Notamacropus eugenii: one gene and its partner. The protein of the gene in region 2 interacts with the protein of the main gene of each other region in a biochemical or structural test. Links are inferred from orthologs where the notes say so. Each region holds a gene or a part of one and is shown on either strand. Other genes may lie near its edges.

Region 1 (7,449 bases), on a different chromosome or scaffold from region 2:
GGTGATAATTTTTCATTTCTGACAGTCAGAAGATAAAAAGAACTTCCCCTGGGCAATTTCAATCAGCTGAATTTCACATGGTACACAAAACCATAAAAGCAGCCCATAAAATAACTTCTGTAAAACTCTGGAGTTCTCATTTAAAAGATTTCTTACAGCAAAACCACTACTAGGTCTATATCCTACAGAGATCAAAGAAAAAGGATCCAAATGTACAAAAATATAGCAGTTCTTTTCATGGTAGCAAAAAAATGAAATTGAACGGATGCCCATCAATTGGGGAATGGCTGAACAATTTGTGGTATCTGATTGTGATGGTATACTACTGAGCTAGAAGAAACGACAAAGAGGATGGCTTCAGAAAAACCTGAGAAGACTTATATGAACATCTGGATATGATGTAAAGTGAACAGAACCAGGAGAACATCATACGTAGTAACAGCAATATTGTAGTGATGATAAACTGTGAAAGACTTAGCTACTCTGATCAATACAATGATCCACAATTCCAACACACTCATGATGAAAAATACTACTCACCTCCAGGGAGGGAACTGATGAACTCTATTTAAGCCTTGTTTTTACTTAAGCATTTTTTAAGTATTTTATTTAAGCATTTTTTTCCACTTTATTTTCCTTGCCTTTTTTTGTTGCTACATGGCTAATACGAAAATGTTTTGCATGACTTCACATGTATAATGGGAATCATATTGCTTGCCTTCTCAATGGGTAGGAGAGGAGCGTGAAAGAAGAGAGAATTTGGAACTCAAAAGTTTTAAATGAATGTATATAAAATATATGTACACACACATATATGTGTTTATATGTACATATGTGTATATTTATTTTCTCTATGGTATATTTAATTTTCAAGGCTTTCCTAGCCCATAATATTTCATTTCATTTTTAGGAGAGTTTCCCTAGTAAGTTTTACATATGTAATCCCTTGAAAGGGCTCTTAGTTTGACTGCACTAATTTTTTAACAACTATTCCAAGGCAATGTGGTATAATAGAAAGATTCCATTTGGAATCTGAAACTTATGTTCCAATTCTGACTGCGACTCTATTATCTGTATGGCAACTTGCACCACAGGTTCTTACTCCAAGGTCAATGCTCTTTCTACCCTGCTGCCAATTACAGAGCAAAGCTCTTTAGACCAATGCTATTATCTTCACATTATTGTCAAAGTCAAATAAATAATCTGTGACTCACGTACCCAAAGGTTATATGACAATTTCACAGCATAACTGGTCATCCAGTTCTGATCTACCAACTACCATAGCCGTGCGTCCTTCACTGTAAACATTTTACACTATGTTTCCCAAGGCGTTATATAACACCGGAAAGCCCCAAGGCTTAGTGAGGTTTTGAAATTTTTTTAATCACCCGCTAAGGTACCTTAATTTTTATTACCCCAATGGGTCATTTATTAATTAATAAGGTACATAAAAAGGTAAGTGAATAGGGAAAATAAGTTAAGAAGGTATGACTGTTATTATAGTTGTGACTACTATTTTATATATTATTATATAATAATGAGTATCATTGTTATGATTATGATTCATTATTGTTTAACATAAGAACCAAAACAACATAAAAGATTTCTGGCCAGGTACAAGGATCCATTTTAGTTAATGATATAAAGTAAAAATATGAAGTTTTGAGAGAGTGCTGGCCTCTAAGACTTAGGTTCAAGTCCTGCTTCTTATACATATAGGCTATATGACTCTGGGCAAGTCAATTAACCAATCCAAAAAGCCACCAATAAGATGTACTACAGGCCTGATCTGGTTTGATAGGAAGAGTTCCTCACTGGGAACTGAAACAAGTCTAATAAGAAAAACAAAGTTTCAAATTCGGCATTTCTGATAACAGAAAAAGTTATAATAGGTTTGGTGGGTACAGCTGAGTTTTAAATAATTCAAATAAATCAGTTCAACAAACTTGGTTTCATTTTTGTCTGTATCTCCACAGCTTTGCAGTGCCTCTCACATAGTAGGTAGTTAATAAATACTTATTGATTGACTGATACAACACAAAACCATTCTAAATATCATGTGTAAGGAAGGACAGGGTAACTTTCTGTAATTTGGAGGAGCACTGCACATTTATATTACGAAACCAAGCTGTTGGATGAATTGAAGAACCTAAGCTTCAAGCCTTGCTCTTTCCCAACTCTTAAAGGTTAGAGACGCTCATCATAAAGTTGTCTTCAACTCTGCACTATTCTTAATTTTCCTACATAGCTAAACAGGGTAAGGATTTTAACCAGACCCAGGAGCTAGGTTTCCAGTTCATTCTCTAGAACCTATATTTCCCATATTTCCACCAAAACACAAAATACTACATTCTTCCTTATTTGGTGACTTGTTTTTGAGGGGGAGGACTGGGGTTGGTAAAAGTGCAATAGTGAAAAGCAAGCATTCTGGAAACAATGTAAAGTTGAACGTTAATTTTAATCATGGGATTGTTAGAGCTAGGACTTTAAAGATCAATTAATTTAACCCTTCTATGTTCCAGATGAAGAAACTGAGTTTACTTACTCACAGATTCCTGATGACAGGAAAAGCGTTCTTAATAGTGGATTCTGAATCAAAGCCCACTTCAATAATCAAATTCCAAAGGCATGAAACTTTTCAGTTTTCAATCCGGACTGGAAAAACAGGTAGCTACACACAACCGGGCCTCAAAATCTTCCCCGGTCAATGTGACTGTGAACTTTGCCCCAAGGAAAAGGTGTCCAGTGGAATGCTGGGAGTAGTAGTTTTTTCTACCCTTCCTGTAAGGAAGCTTATGTAACTACAAGTTACCATTATTAACAACAACATGTACTTACCTCATTTTGTTGGGTAAGTAGCACTTCAAAATTCTTATTTTCAGAAAATTATTAATATTCTAAAAATATGCTCCCGTCTTCTGCTGACATCAGCTAGTTGTCATTTGTCCTTTTATTAGCTGGGCAATCCCTGGGCAAGTCCCATCACTTCTCTCAGCCTCAGTTTCCTCAGTTCTAGAATAATAAGAACACTTACCTCACTGGCGTGCTGTGAGGATCAAGGGAGTTTACATGCAAAGTGCTCTGCAAATCTTAAAGCATTACACAAATGACAGCTATTATTAATTCTTTAACTACTTTCCAACCTATGAAGTAAGGTACTCTAAATTATTCTGGTCACTTTAAATATGCAGAATCACAGAATTTCAGAGCTGGAAGAGCCCAATGCAAACATGAAGAAAGCATCCCTCAAAAACCTCCAGTGAGGGCAGAATCCATTATATCCTGAACAAGCCCATTCCACTTTTGGACAGCTTGAATTATTAGGAAAAATTTCCCTTTTACTTTTTTTTATCCACTAATCCCAGTTCTTCCTCTGGAGCCAAGCAAAAGGAATATAACCTGCTTCCAGGTGACAATCTTTTAAATACTTTAACACAGCTATAACATTCCCCTCCTTGCTTACCCTCAAGTCTTCTCTTCTCCAGGATAAACAACCCCATTTCCTTCAACTGATTATCAAACTTACTAGGTAGTGGACCATTCAAGAAATGTACCCTTGAGAGCCTTCACCTCTAAATCCACAAAATGGGGATAATAACACCTGCACTGAACTACTCATGTCAGTCCTGTTGTGAAGAAAGCTCTTTGGGAACCTCAAAGCACTATACACACATTATTATAGTAACAACAACCAAGAACATATAACATTCATAAGAAAAGTGAGAGTATCTAGAAGGAAAAGATGATCAAAAATGTCTAGATCCTTCACAGAAATACAGGTAATAAGTAACTAGCATTGAAATTAATTAGGCTGTATTAGGCAATTTGATAGTCACTAGTATTTTTTGAGACAGCAATTCCAGTCAGACTGACTGGATCAGAAATTCAAATAACAAAAGTACAGGTAATTAAGGAACTTAAGGCATTGGGAATGAAGAACTTTTTCGAGCTGTCTTTTTCAACACAAAGCTAAGTTCCTTTTTGACAGGGTTAATAATTTGCTATGGGGGATGCTAGCAATATAGTTTACTTAATTGTAATAAAGTATTCAGTAAAGCATATCATGTTATTCATGTAAAATACATAAATAAAGGATTAACTACCCTGAAATTTAAAAAGAAGCACAAGGCTAAGACTAGCAGCGCAGTTCATCCTTCACTTAAAAGTTCAAACCTGCAACAAGAGATGTAAGAGATACCCTATTTAAAACAATCATGGAAAGAATAAAATACCTGAGATTACAGCTGCCAAGAGAAACCCAGAAACTATATGAACATGATTATAAAACATTTTTATGCAAATAAAGTTCAGATTTAAGTAACTGAAGAAATATTAATTGTTCAAGTGTGGTCAGAGCCAATATATGATCAATGCTGATTTATAGCATTTTTTCTTACGACTATAGTTCTAATTTCTTCCTCTGAAAACTACCTATTCATATCCTGTGACCATTTATCATTTGGAAAATGACTTGTATTCTTGTAAATTTGACTCAGTTCTCTATATATTTTAGAAATGAAGCCTTTATGAAAGATATTAATTGTAAAAATTCTTTCCCAATTTTCTGCTTCCCTCTTAACCTTGGTTGCATTGGCTTTGTTTGTGCAGAAACTTTTCAATTTAATGTAATCAAAATTATTCATTTTGCATTTCATAATGTTCTCTATCTCTTGTTTGGTCATAAATTCCTCCATTCACCATAAATCTAACAGATGAACTCTTCCTTGCTCCCCTAATTTGTTTATAGTATCAGCCTTTATACCTAAATCATGTACTCATTTGCACTTTATTTTGGTAGTGCTTTGTAAACTTTAAGGAGCTATGTAAATGTGATTGTAATTATTGTTTTAATTATTGGAGAGACCTAAGCATGTTTGTGATTCAGTCATCATCTGCCAAGTTGAAAATCTTCCCTTGCTATAGCATTCTCTATTCTCATTCCCATCAACCTCAACCATACACCTCTGCAATTCTGTTACTCTGTCTTCCCCTTTCCTTGTGCCCTCTGGAATCCTGCTCTGTTGTTGATAAATTCCTCTTCCTCTTAGATGGCTTCCTCTTAGTCTTTACAATTTCTTGGACTTAACAGAAACCTGGATCCCCATTCCTTCAGAAGATACTGCATCACCAGTCAGTCTCCACTGTTAAAAGTACTTAGTATCAGTCAACCAATAAGCATTTAAGTGTATATTTTGTGCCCCCCTCCACTGTGCTTGGCACTGGGTATGCAAAGAATGGGGGGGAAATCTCCCTTTCCCTCCAGGAACTTACAGTCTAATGGGGAGATAGTAACAAATAACTAACTACATACATAATCTATATAGAGCATATGGCATCAATGGGGGAAGCCATTCACATCTGGGAGTGGGGGCAGAGATGAGTCAGAGAAAAGCCTTCCACAGAAGGTGGGCTTTGAACTCAATCTTGAAGGAAGTCAAAAAAACTAAGAGGCAGAGATGATAGGAAAGAATATTCCAGGAGAGTGTAGAAGTCTTCTGAGCATGCAAAAATGAGAAAACTAGGGGAGGGACTTTTAGAGGAATGTACTGATTGAGATTGTGAGAGATGAAGAGACTCTTGGAGGGGTGGATGAAGTAGGAGAGGGACTTGAGAGGGAGAGAAGATAAGGTGACAGGGATAGGGTAAAAAGAGAGGCTAAGAAACAAAACTGAGTAAAAATAAGATGGAGAGAAATTCATAAACTAATTATAACTTTGAATGTGAATGGAATGTTTATAGAAGTTCTCTTTGCAGTGTCAAAGACTGGAAATTGAGGGGATGTCCATCTATTGGAGAATGGCTGGACAAATTGTGATATATGGTTGCAGTGGAATACTATAAGAAATGATGAGCTCAATGATCTTAGAAAGCATGGAAATACCTGTATGAAACGATGAAAAGTGAAATAAGCAGAACCAAGAGAACATTGTGGACAGTAACGGCAATATTGTTTTAAGAATGACTTCAAAAGACTAAGTCCCTTTCACTGTTATAAATCCAAAAATTAAAAAATAAAGGACATATGAAGACACTATCTACATCCAAAGAAAGAACAGATAGATATATAATCTACATATTATACACACACACACACACACACTCACACCCCTGTTTGTGTCTTAATAGTATCCATCTCTAAGATAGGGGAATGAGTGCCAGGCATGGTAACAAGAGATGGAACATCACGACCACAGAACTGCAAGGTCACTGTATCTAGATCACATTGTGTGTAGAATCAAGTAAAGTGTAAGATTTCAAAGGGGAAGAGGACAAATCACGAAGAGCTTTAAAAGTCAAACCAAAGTCTTTAATTTGATCTTGGAATAGGGAGCCACAGAACTCAATGTCAGTTAGGTCTTTAATTTAGAAAAAAACTACTCCAGTAGTGGAGTGGAGATAGGACAGAGTATGAACTGGAGTACTGGCTGTATGAGTAGAGAGAATGGGATGTATGAGAGATGTCACAGAGCTAGAAATGACAAGATTTGACAACAGACTGAATATGAGGGACAAGAGTGAGGAATAGCAAATGGCCAGGACAACAAGGTTTTGAATTTGAATGACTGGGGACAGGGTAGTGCCCCTCCACAGTAAAAAGGGAAGTTCAGAATGAAATTTAGTTCAGTGCTTTAAAAGATGAAATTTTTCTTCATGACATTCTAGGCACTTTACTAAGAAATATTTTAAAATTGTAATCAAACCACTCCTGGATTGACTGGTCACAAAAGCCACTGGGATCTGTAGTTCTCCCCAGTTTAAGAAGAAACTGGGGTTGCAGTCTTTCCCAATGGAGAATTACAAATTCTAGCCAAACCCTTATTAGGGGTTGTTATAGTAATTTTCAGAGATTGGTAACTGAAATGACAAAAGTTTATGCTGGTCTTAAGCTAATCTGACAGGAAGGAATCCCTTCTACAAACCTAAGAGATAAATTCTCCGGTAGGGTACACAAATTACATTGGCCCTGGAATCAGAGGCTTAGTGGCTCAAATCTCACCCCTGATTACCTGTAAACCTTCAAGTCACTTGATCTCTCTGGATCTGTTTCCCTATCTGTAAAATAAGGGGTTGGACTAGATGGCCTCTGAAGTCCTTTCCAGCTCTAAATGTATCTTCCCAATAGGGATGACATTCCTGAAGACAAACAACTTCTCTGTTGGACAGCTCTGACATTAAAACTTTTCTCTAGGTTAAGGTTTAAGGGGTTGCTGGGTGAAACACACATGTTGTTAGGCATCTGCAGCTTCTGCTGTCACCTCACAAACAGAGGAGGGGCCAGGATATAAGTAGTCCTCCCAGGTAGACCAAGGCCACAAACAAGCAAACTTCTGTCTAAAATTGTCTATGCTCTTTCTTTTTTAAAAGATTTCTTTGGGGAAACCACTCGAGCTATTTTTGGCAACGCATCAGTAAGTATAATAGTAGATGAACCCCTTCCTTTCTAGACCA
Region 2 (7,443 bases):
CTGCTCTTGTGCATCAAACACATCTGCCTCCCAAATGCTGTATAACCCTTTACAAAGGTGCAAAATATAATACAAAAGGGACATCCAGAAAGAAATTCTCAAAGATCATTCATTTGTTTAGCATATTATCCCATAAACTTCATCATCACCCACACAAAAACATCAAACAAAGCCCAACCCCTGTGCAGCTGGGAAAGATTCCAGATTATCTTCTTGCCTTATATTGTACGATGTTCCCAGCATGTGGAAAGTGCAATGTGGCCACAAATAGGTGCACATAATCACTGTTAAGTCCACCCTCATAAATATGCTCAGCTATGATTTTGCTGACAAAATTTTTCCCTGTGCCAGTCCATCCATGCAGGGAGAGGGTGAGAGGTTTCTTGGACTTTGGGTTACTTATGAACCCGGACACAGCATTTAATATCACTTTCTTTGCAAGGTGCTGTCCAAAGAGCTTGCTGTCAAGGTCCTTCTGTAATGCTGAGGAAAAAACAAAAGTTGTCATATACAAGTAAAAAACTGGTTGGCAGACTAGATAAAACATACTACCAGCTAAGGATTGGTTCAGATCTTCTGGGATGCTAACCAGCTATAACTAGCAGTTGACTAAAATAACCTGACTCTTCAGCCCCAAAGAAATTCTGTGGAGGACTCCCCCTCCCCCAAACCCTTGCTATTTCTTCCTTGCTGCAAACTTCCTGGGCCCCACCTATGCCAACGACACATCATCTTCCAGCTTTTTCAAACAGGAACAAAAACTGTCCATCAGTTTGGCAGAAAGGCCTCTGCCTCTTCAGTGTCTACATCACATCTAAGAATTAAGTAGCCAAATCTAACCTTACTTTATGGCTTCCTATCTTGGGAAAGGAGGAAAATGGGGCTCATGTAGATTCAACCACCACCTGTACAACTGAGGGAGACAAGACTCCCTCTTTCAATATCTCTCCTCTTCTCAATGAAGAATATACTTTTAAGAAGATTCAATTACAAAAGTATTCTATTTTCTCTTGCAAAGAAGGCTGAAGCAGGGTCTACAAACTCCATTTTTTGTTGGAGGCAGCAAGCAGCTCCCTATCTCAACTTCCAACCTCTTCCCCACAAAATCTCTGCACTTACCCAGGGAGCCCCCACTACTCTTTCCATGGCACCCAAAATGTTCTCCCTTGTCCTTACCAGATACCACCACTCCTTATCCCCTCTCCCTCCCTCCCTCCCCAATCTCCAAGTTTTACTTTTCTATGATCTCCATCCTTGAGGAAATACAATACAATGGAAAGACCACTGGACTTCAGAGTCAGGCACCCTGGGTTTTAATTCTAACTTTGCTATTTTAATAATGGCTCAAAATTCTGGATTACAAAGTGTTTTACTGACAATACTATGAGGTGAGGGTTTTCTCTCTTTTTCTTCTGATCCAGACCTGTGATTTCATCTATAAGAGGGAAAGTTTGTTGCAGAAACTCCCTTCATCAATACAGATGGACAACTCTCTGGTTATTCATCCATATAATTTTCTGGGGACACTTAAGTGACTTACCCAGGGTCATACAGGACTTGAACCTGGCTCTTTCTGACTCCAAGCCTAACTTTTATCCACTAAACTCATTCTTGCCTCTCCACGTGGTGACCTCTGCCAAGAAGCATGGCCAAGTCTTGGGCCAGTTAATTATGGTTGGTTCTCACCAATTAGGAGCATGGGCCCAAGCCTGTCAAACTGGACAAGGCATGCAATCTCACTCAAGCGTCTTCCTCTTTAACCTAACCCAGCAACTCCTTCTCCTCCCCTTTAGCAACTATAATCAAATCAATACTACCCTTTTTTTCTGGAAAGGATTTGCCAAGCAAGCATCATGCCAGGCCCAATGCTAGGTACTGGGCATACGAAAACACAAAACAGCAATGCCGACTCAGGGGGAGTTTACATTTTAACTGGAGAGACAACAAGGTCATATAAGTGTATATGGAACAAACATAAAAAGAATAAATACAAAGTAGTTAAACAGTAGTTTGAGAAAGGAGGCCCCTAGAATTTGAGGAATCAGGAAAAGCTTCAAGTAGAAGCAAACAACTGAACTGCATCTGAAAGGAAGAGAGGGGCCCTATGAGGAAAAGGAGGTGCTCCAGGAATAGGGCAAAGGTCTGGAGATGGGAGATGGCGACCAACTGTGCTATTATTGTTCCACCCACCATCTTACCCAAACTCCCTGCCCTAGTCACCACCATCCCAGTAAGAAAGGCAGCTCTAGAGGGGCAGGGGCCCTCTCAATTCTGTTTTTATCCGCACGGTTTCTGTCGCAGCCAGGGGGCGCTGTGGAGAGTCCGCGGCTTGGAGCGGTCAAGCTCGGAGTTGGAGTCCAGTCCCAGACACCTCAGGCCACCCCTTCCCTCCGCACCAGCACGTGCCTCCGGGGCGGTCGAGGGCAGTGAGCTGGGCGGACACTCCCCAACCCCGGGGCCTCACTCGACGCGGACCCACTTGTGGAACCCTGGGCAGGCTGCTCGTCCTCTCTAAAGGGCCGGCGAAATGACGGGGTTGGCCCTCACGACCCCCAAAGTCCCCCCAGGACCCCCGCTTCTCCCCACATCTCAGAGCGGGTCTCTCCACACTCCTGGCCTCCAGCTTCCGGGGAGCACCCAGGGTCCGGAGGTGCTCATCGCCCCACTGTACTGATGGAGAAACTGAGACTCGCGAGAGGACGGGGCCGCCCTCCCTGCCCCCGGCCCGGCCCCGGCCCCCGGCCCGGCCCCGGCCCTACCCTCGCGGCTGAGGCTCCGCTTCTGGCTGCAGCACTCGGTGAAGAGGCAGTAGAGGCGCGGGTAGGAGATGTAGCCGGTGAGCACGCCGGCCAGGGCCAGCCCCAGGCTGATGGGCTCCACGGCCCGCACCAAGGGCGGCGCCAGCAGCAGCAGGCCCAGGGCGGCCCGGACCAGCTTCATGCCCGGACCGCACGGAGCCGAGCCACACCGAGCCCGCCTTCCCGGCCACGGCTTCGGCCGGTGAAGATGACAGGCCGCCGCCGCCGCTTCCGGCTCCGCCCCTCCTCTACCGCCCGCCGCCATCTTTGTGAGGGGAAAACACTTCCCGCGCCGCCTCCGAGGACGGGCAGCGAAGCCGGAGCCGGCCATCTTGGAGTGGGGCAAAGAGCCGGCCTCCTCCCTCCCCTCCAACTGCTTAAGACTCTGATTCCAGACTTTTTAGTCTCAGGACCATTTTACACTCTTGAAAATTATTGAGGACCTCAAAAAACTTTCCTTTACAGGAGTTATCTTTGTCCATATAGGTGGACAGAGTGGATAGTGGATAGAGCTGCTAGGCCAGTTAGACGTAAGTTCAAATTCGGCTGTATGACCTTGGGCAAGTCATATTCATCTGTCTGCCTTAGTTTCTTCAACTAAAATAAGAATAATAGCCCCTCCCCCCAAGGTTGTTGTGAGGATCAAATGAGATAGCATCTGTAAAGCACTTGCAGTTCCTGGCACACATATACATGTGTATGTATGTTAATAATCATTTAATATCATTTTTGGACTTTAATAAGGGCTAGAACCTGAATTAATCAATCAGAAGAAGAGCCTGGCCCAAACAACCTCTTTATTCTCTGAGTAAACTCAGAGAATACCTCTTCCTATGTCAACAAGGCTAGAGGGGGCTTTTCCTTTTTCCTCTGTTTAAGGATGTGACCCTTAATCGGACACAGTATCTTTTTTCTGTATCTTAGTATTTTGTGGACATTTAAATGTTATAACATGTTAATAGTAAAGAAAACACAGATATCCTGGGTCATAATTTCAACTGGCACTTTGTCAACTCTCTTATTGTATTTACAACTTATTCAATTAAGAAAATTCCTTTCTCATGGTATAAACACATAGAATGTAATTCTGAGGGAGGGACACAGATATCCTGGGATTGTCCTAAAACAGATTTAAGCCTTGTCACTCTTGTATCAGTCAGTCAGAACTTATATTTTGTCTCTTTGTACAAGTTCTAGTTTAGACTAGCTCAAAGTGAATAAACAATATGCATTAACATATCACCTACCCTGTTTGCCTCCTTTAACCAAATTTCCAGATCAGCAATGTATATATACATATATATACATATACGTAAATACATACACACACATATATATATATATATATACATAAGTACTTAATAAATGTTTGTTCCCTTCCTACAACTTAAAACTTGATACAATTTTAAAATATTCATTTATTAATTCATTTAAAAATGACAATGTATCACAAGTGAACATGAATGTTTTACAAAAAATAACCCTATTTTCCAAAACAATGAATTAGTGAGAAAGCATTGCTTTACAAATCTTTTCAAATTTTGACTTAATGGAAGACACCTGATTTTCCTATCTGCTTCTGCATTGTATATTGTGATACAGTTTTGACTGAATATATGAATAGGACCAACTGTGTGTAGTTGGAAAAGGGAGGAGTATTTAAATAGGCAAGTAATATCTTAGTATTTTTAGGAAAATAATTTTGATCTCAGGCACCCCCTGAAAAGGTCTCAGACACCCCAGGGTTCTAAGGACCACACATTAGGAATTCGACCTTTCCAGGGTATCTTGATGTGTCAAGATTCTGAGAGCCTGCGACCATCTAGTCCACTTTTTCCATTTTACAGATGAGGAAACTGAGGCCCAGGAGGTTAAATGACTTGCCTAAGGTTGTACAGGTGGTAAACTATAGAGGGTAGATTTAACCCAGGCCTTTGGTCTCCAGAACCAGTGAGCTTTCATACTGGAGACTGTTTTCTTCCTGTAGAAGACAATGGATTTTGTCTTGGCTTTTTTGTCCTTAATATTCACTTTGTTGTCACACAACTGATAGGGATATTTTCTAATGCTTGTATCAGATTTCTAGGGTAGTTAGGCTCTTTCTTGTAAGCAACTCCCAGTGTTACATCGAACATTAAAATTGTGCCCTGAGTTTGGATGTAATAATCCTTCTCAGACCACCAAATTTCTCTTGGTTAACTGTATCCTAAACATTGAATTTAATAGGACTACTGTTAGCATGGAAAACAAGGGGAAGGACCTCAACATCCAAGGTGACCACATCCTTCTCAAATTCACCAGTCAAGTGACATTTTCCAAATGTGGCTTTTTTCTTATTACCATCTGACCTACTAATACAAGTTTGAACTGAACTTGGGGTCTTCCTTGGGCAGCCTTGCTGATGGCTCTTCTAAAAGTTATCTCTCTGTCTGAATGAATTATCTGATTTCAAGGTAAATGCTTTTCTCACTATACATCACCTTAACTTCAATGGGACTTGGTTTCCCCTTCTGTAAAATGAGGGAGTTGGCCTCCAAGAACCCTTATAGGTCTGAGGTTCTGTGATTCTTCACAGGAAAGGCAGACTAGATGTGTTTGTACTGCCCACTGGTACTAGAGTCTGCCACAACCAAATTCTCCATAAAGAGACTTGTTGCAACTAGAAAACACTTCTCCTCAATAAGGCAGTAAAAGGGCCTTGGTTAGTCTGTTCAATTCTACTATCAGAATTCACTAGTCATTTGGCAAATCCTAAGATCATAAAGAGCCCACCTCGTGTTCAACCTCTTTATTTTATAGATAGGGAAGTTGTGACTTGAGAACACGCAGGAAGGAAGGAAGCACAGAAGGCAAATCACATGGCCGAGGTCTAGCAGACCACTGCAAATATGCCACAAAACTGAATACAACTGGACTGCCTACTATGTGTTAGGTTAAATATTAGAAATACAAAGATAAAAATGAAAATCTGCCCTTGATGATCTTTCATTGACATTTGATAGACTGAAATCACTATTCCATAGATGTGTACAAAATATATTTTTTTTACTTTATCTATGACAGAAATTATACCTATATATAAATCTATAATCTATCATTTCATTTGTATACAGAACTCTCTACCAATGAAGATAGGCATACTTGTCAGTGAATCAGCCATCAGTCAAAAAACATTTATTAAGTGCCTCTTATGTGCTAGGCACTGTGCCAAAAGCTAGGGATACAAAGAAAGGCAAAGTGTCTGCCCTCAAGGAGCACAATCTAAAAGGAAAAACATGTAAAACCATGTAGAAACAAGATATATACAGGATAAATTTTAGATAATCAATGGGGGGAAGGCACTAGAATTGAGGGATTTGGGAAGGCTTCATGTGGGTGGGGTTTTAGCTAGGACTTGAGCCAGGGAGTGATGAGGAAGGGGAGCATTCCAGGCATGGAAGCAGCCAAAGGAAATGCTTGCTCAGATGTAATATTTCATTCAAGGAAGAACAAGGAAGTTGATGTCCCTGGATAGTGAAATACATGGGGTTGTTGGGAGGAAGTCTACCATGTCCTAAGTCTACCACTTAGGAATACTTGGCTTATGAATGCCAGGGCTAGGGCTCACACATACAAAAATCAATATAACTATCACCCTCAAGAAGTTTATATTCTGTTTTTTTTTTTAGAATAAAGTTTTATTTATATCATTTTTTTTCACATCACCTATTCTTTCCCAATGTTCCCTTTCTCTTGTCTTGCAGAAAAGTTTCCCGCATAATTGTGATAGGACCCTGTCCAAAGAGAGGTCATTCTCCTGACTGAGATTAATTGCCTGTTTGGTAAACCTGCTTCTCAATGTCAGCTAAGAAAGAATGGAGGGGACTACTCTACTACTAAGCATATCCTGTCATTTTATGCTTGTTTACTTTGCAGTGAAGAAAAGGCTTTTTGGTTGGCTGCATCAGCTGGCTTCCCTAGTTTTTCTTTCCTTGTGGTGAGCAAGGCAATACCTGCTGTTAAGCCTCTAGGTGTGAGAAGAAGTACCAGGGCCAACAAACAGGTCCTACATATGGCTCGGAACATATGATGTCTTTTTCTTTCTGTCTATTTGTTGATTCTTTCCTACTTTTAGGTGACATGTTAGAAATGAACCACACTGTGACCCTATAAGCTTTGAAAGATTAGGGGAGTCACAAGTGGCCCAGGATCTGGAGTCCATCCCAAAGTGTGTCATTTTCATCAGCAACAGCAGCAGAGTGGAGAGGCATCAGCACTGCTGTGAGCAGTGAACTGCTGGACTAGGTGTAGCAAACTCATCAAGGGGCAACTTTTCCAGTACACATTCCAGGCCACATTCATAAGCAGACTTGCTGGGACAAATGTTTCCTGACGGTGGCTATAAGCTGGAGCCCACTCTCCTCGGGGACTGAAGTAGCATGAACCCCAGCGTGGAGGGGATGTTTGTATTTCTGACCAATATATCTTCTCAACAAACATCCTTTGGTAAAAGCTAACTGATATTAATTGGTTAAATAGTATTGGGATGCTCATCACTGGGGCAATAAATGGGGGAGATACTAACTGGGGAACATGTTATAACGAGGGGTTGAGCCAATAATATTAAAGGCATTTTCTACTCCTCAGGGGTATCCTATTACCCAGA

Evidence for each region.
Region 1: the proteins of TOR1A (region 2) and TOR1AIP2 form a complex in vitro, tested with the Homo sapiens proteins (4 studies listed by BioGRID and IntAct, with this or other methods). The link is inferred for Notamacropus eugenii from reciprocal best matches to the Homo sapiens genes TOR1A and TOR1AIP2.

Annotation. Positions count from the first base shown.
Region 1 is NC_092873.1:465,746,540-465,753,988, reverse strand, and holds the start of TOR1AIP2 (torsin-1A-interacting protein 2), read right to left. Parts: upstream 3,013-7,449; 5' UTR 2,839-3,012; intron 2,738-2,838; exon of another isoform or gene 2,546-2,737; intron 1-2,545. UniProt on the Homo sapiens protein: Required for endoplasmic reticulum integrity. Regulates the distribution of TOR1A between the endoplasmic reticulum and the nuclear envelope as well as induces TOR1A, TOR1B and TOR3A ATPase activity.
Region 2 is NC_092872.1:481,392,109-481,399,551, forward strand, and holds the start of TOR1A (torsin-1A), read right to left. Parts: upstream 3,037-7,443; 5' UTR 2,941-3,036; coding exon 2,760-2,940; intron 484-2,759; coding exon 218-483; intron 1-217. UniProt on the Homo sapiens protein: Protein with chaperone functions important for the control of protein folding, processing, stability and localization as well as for the reduction of misfolded protein aggregates.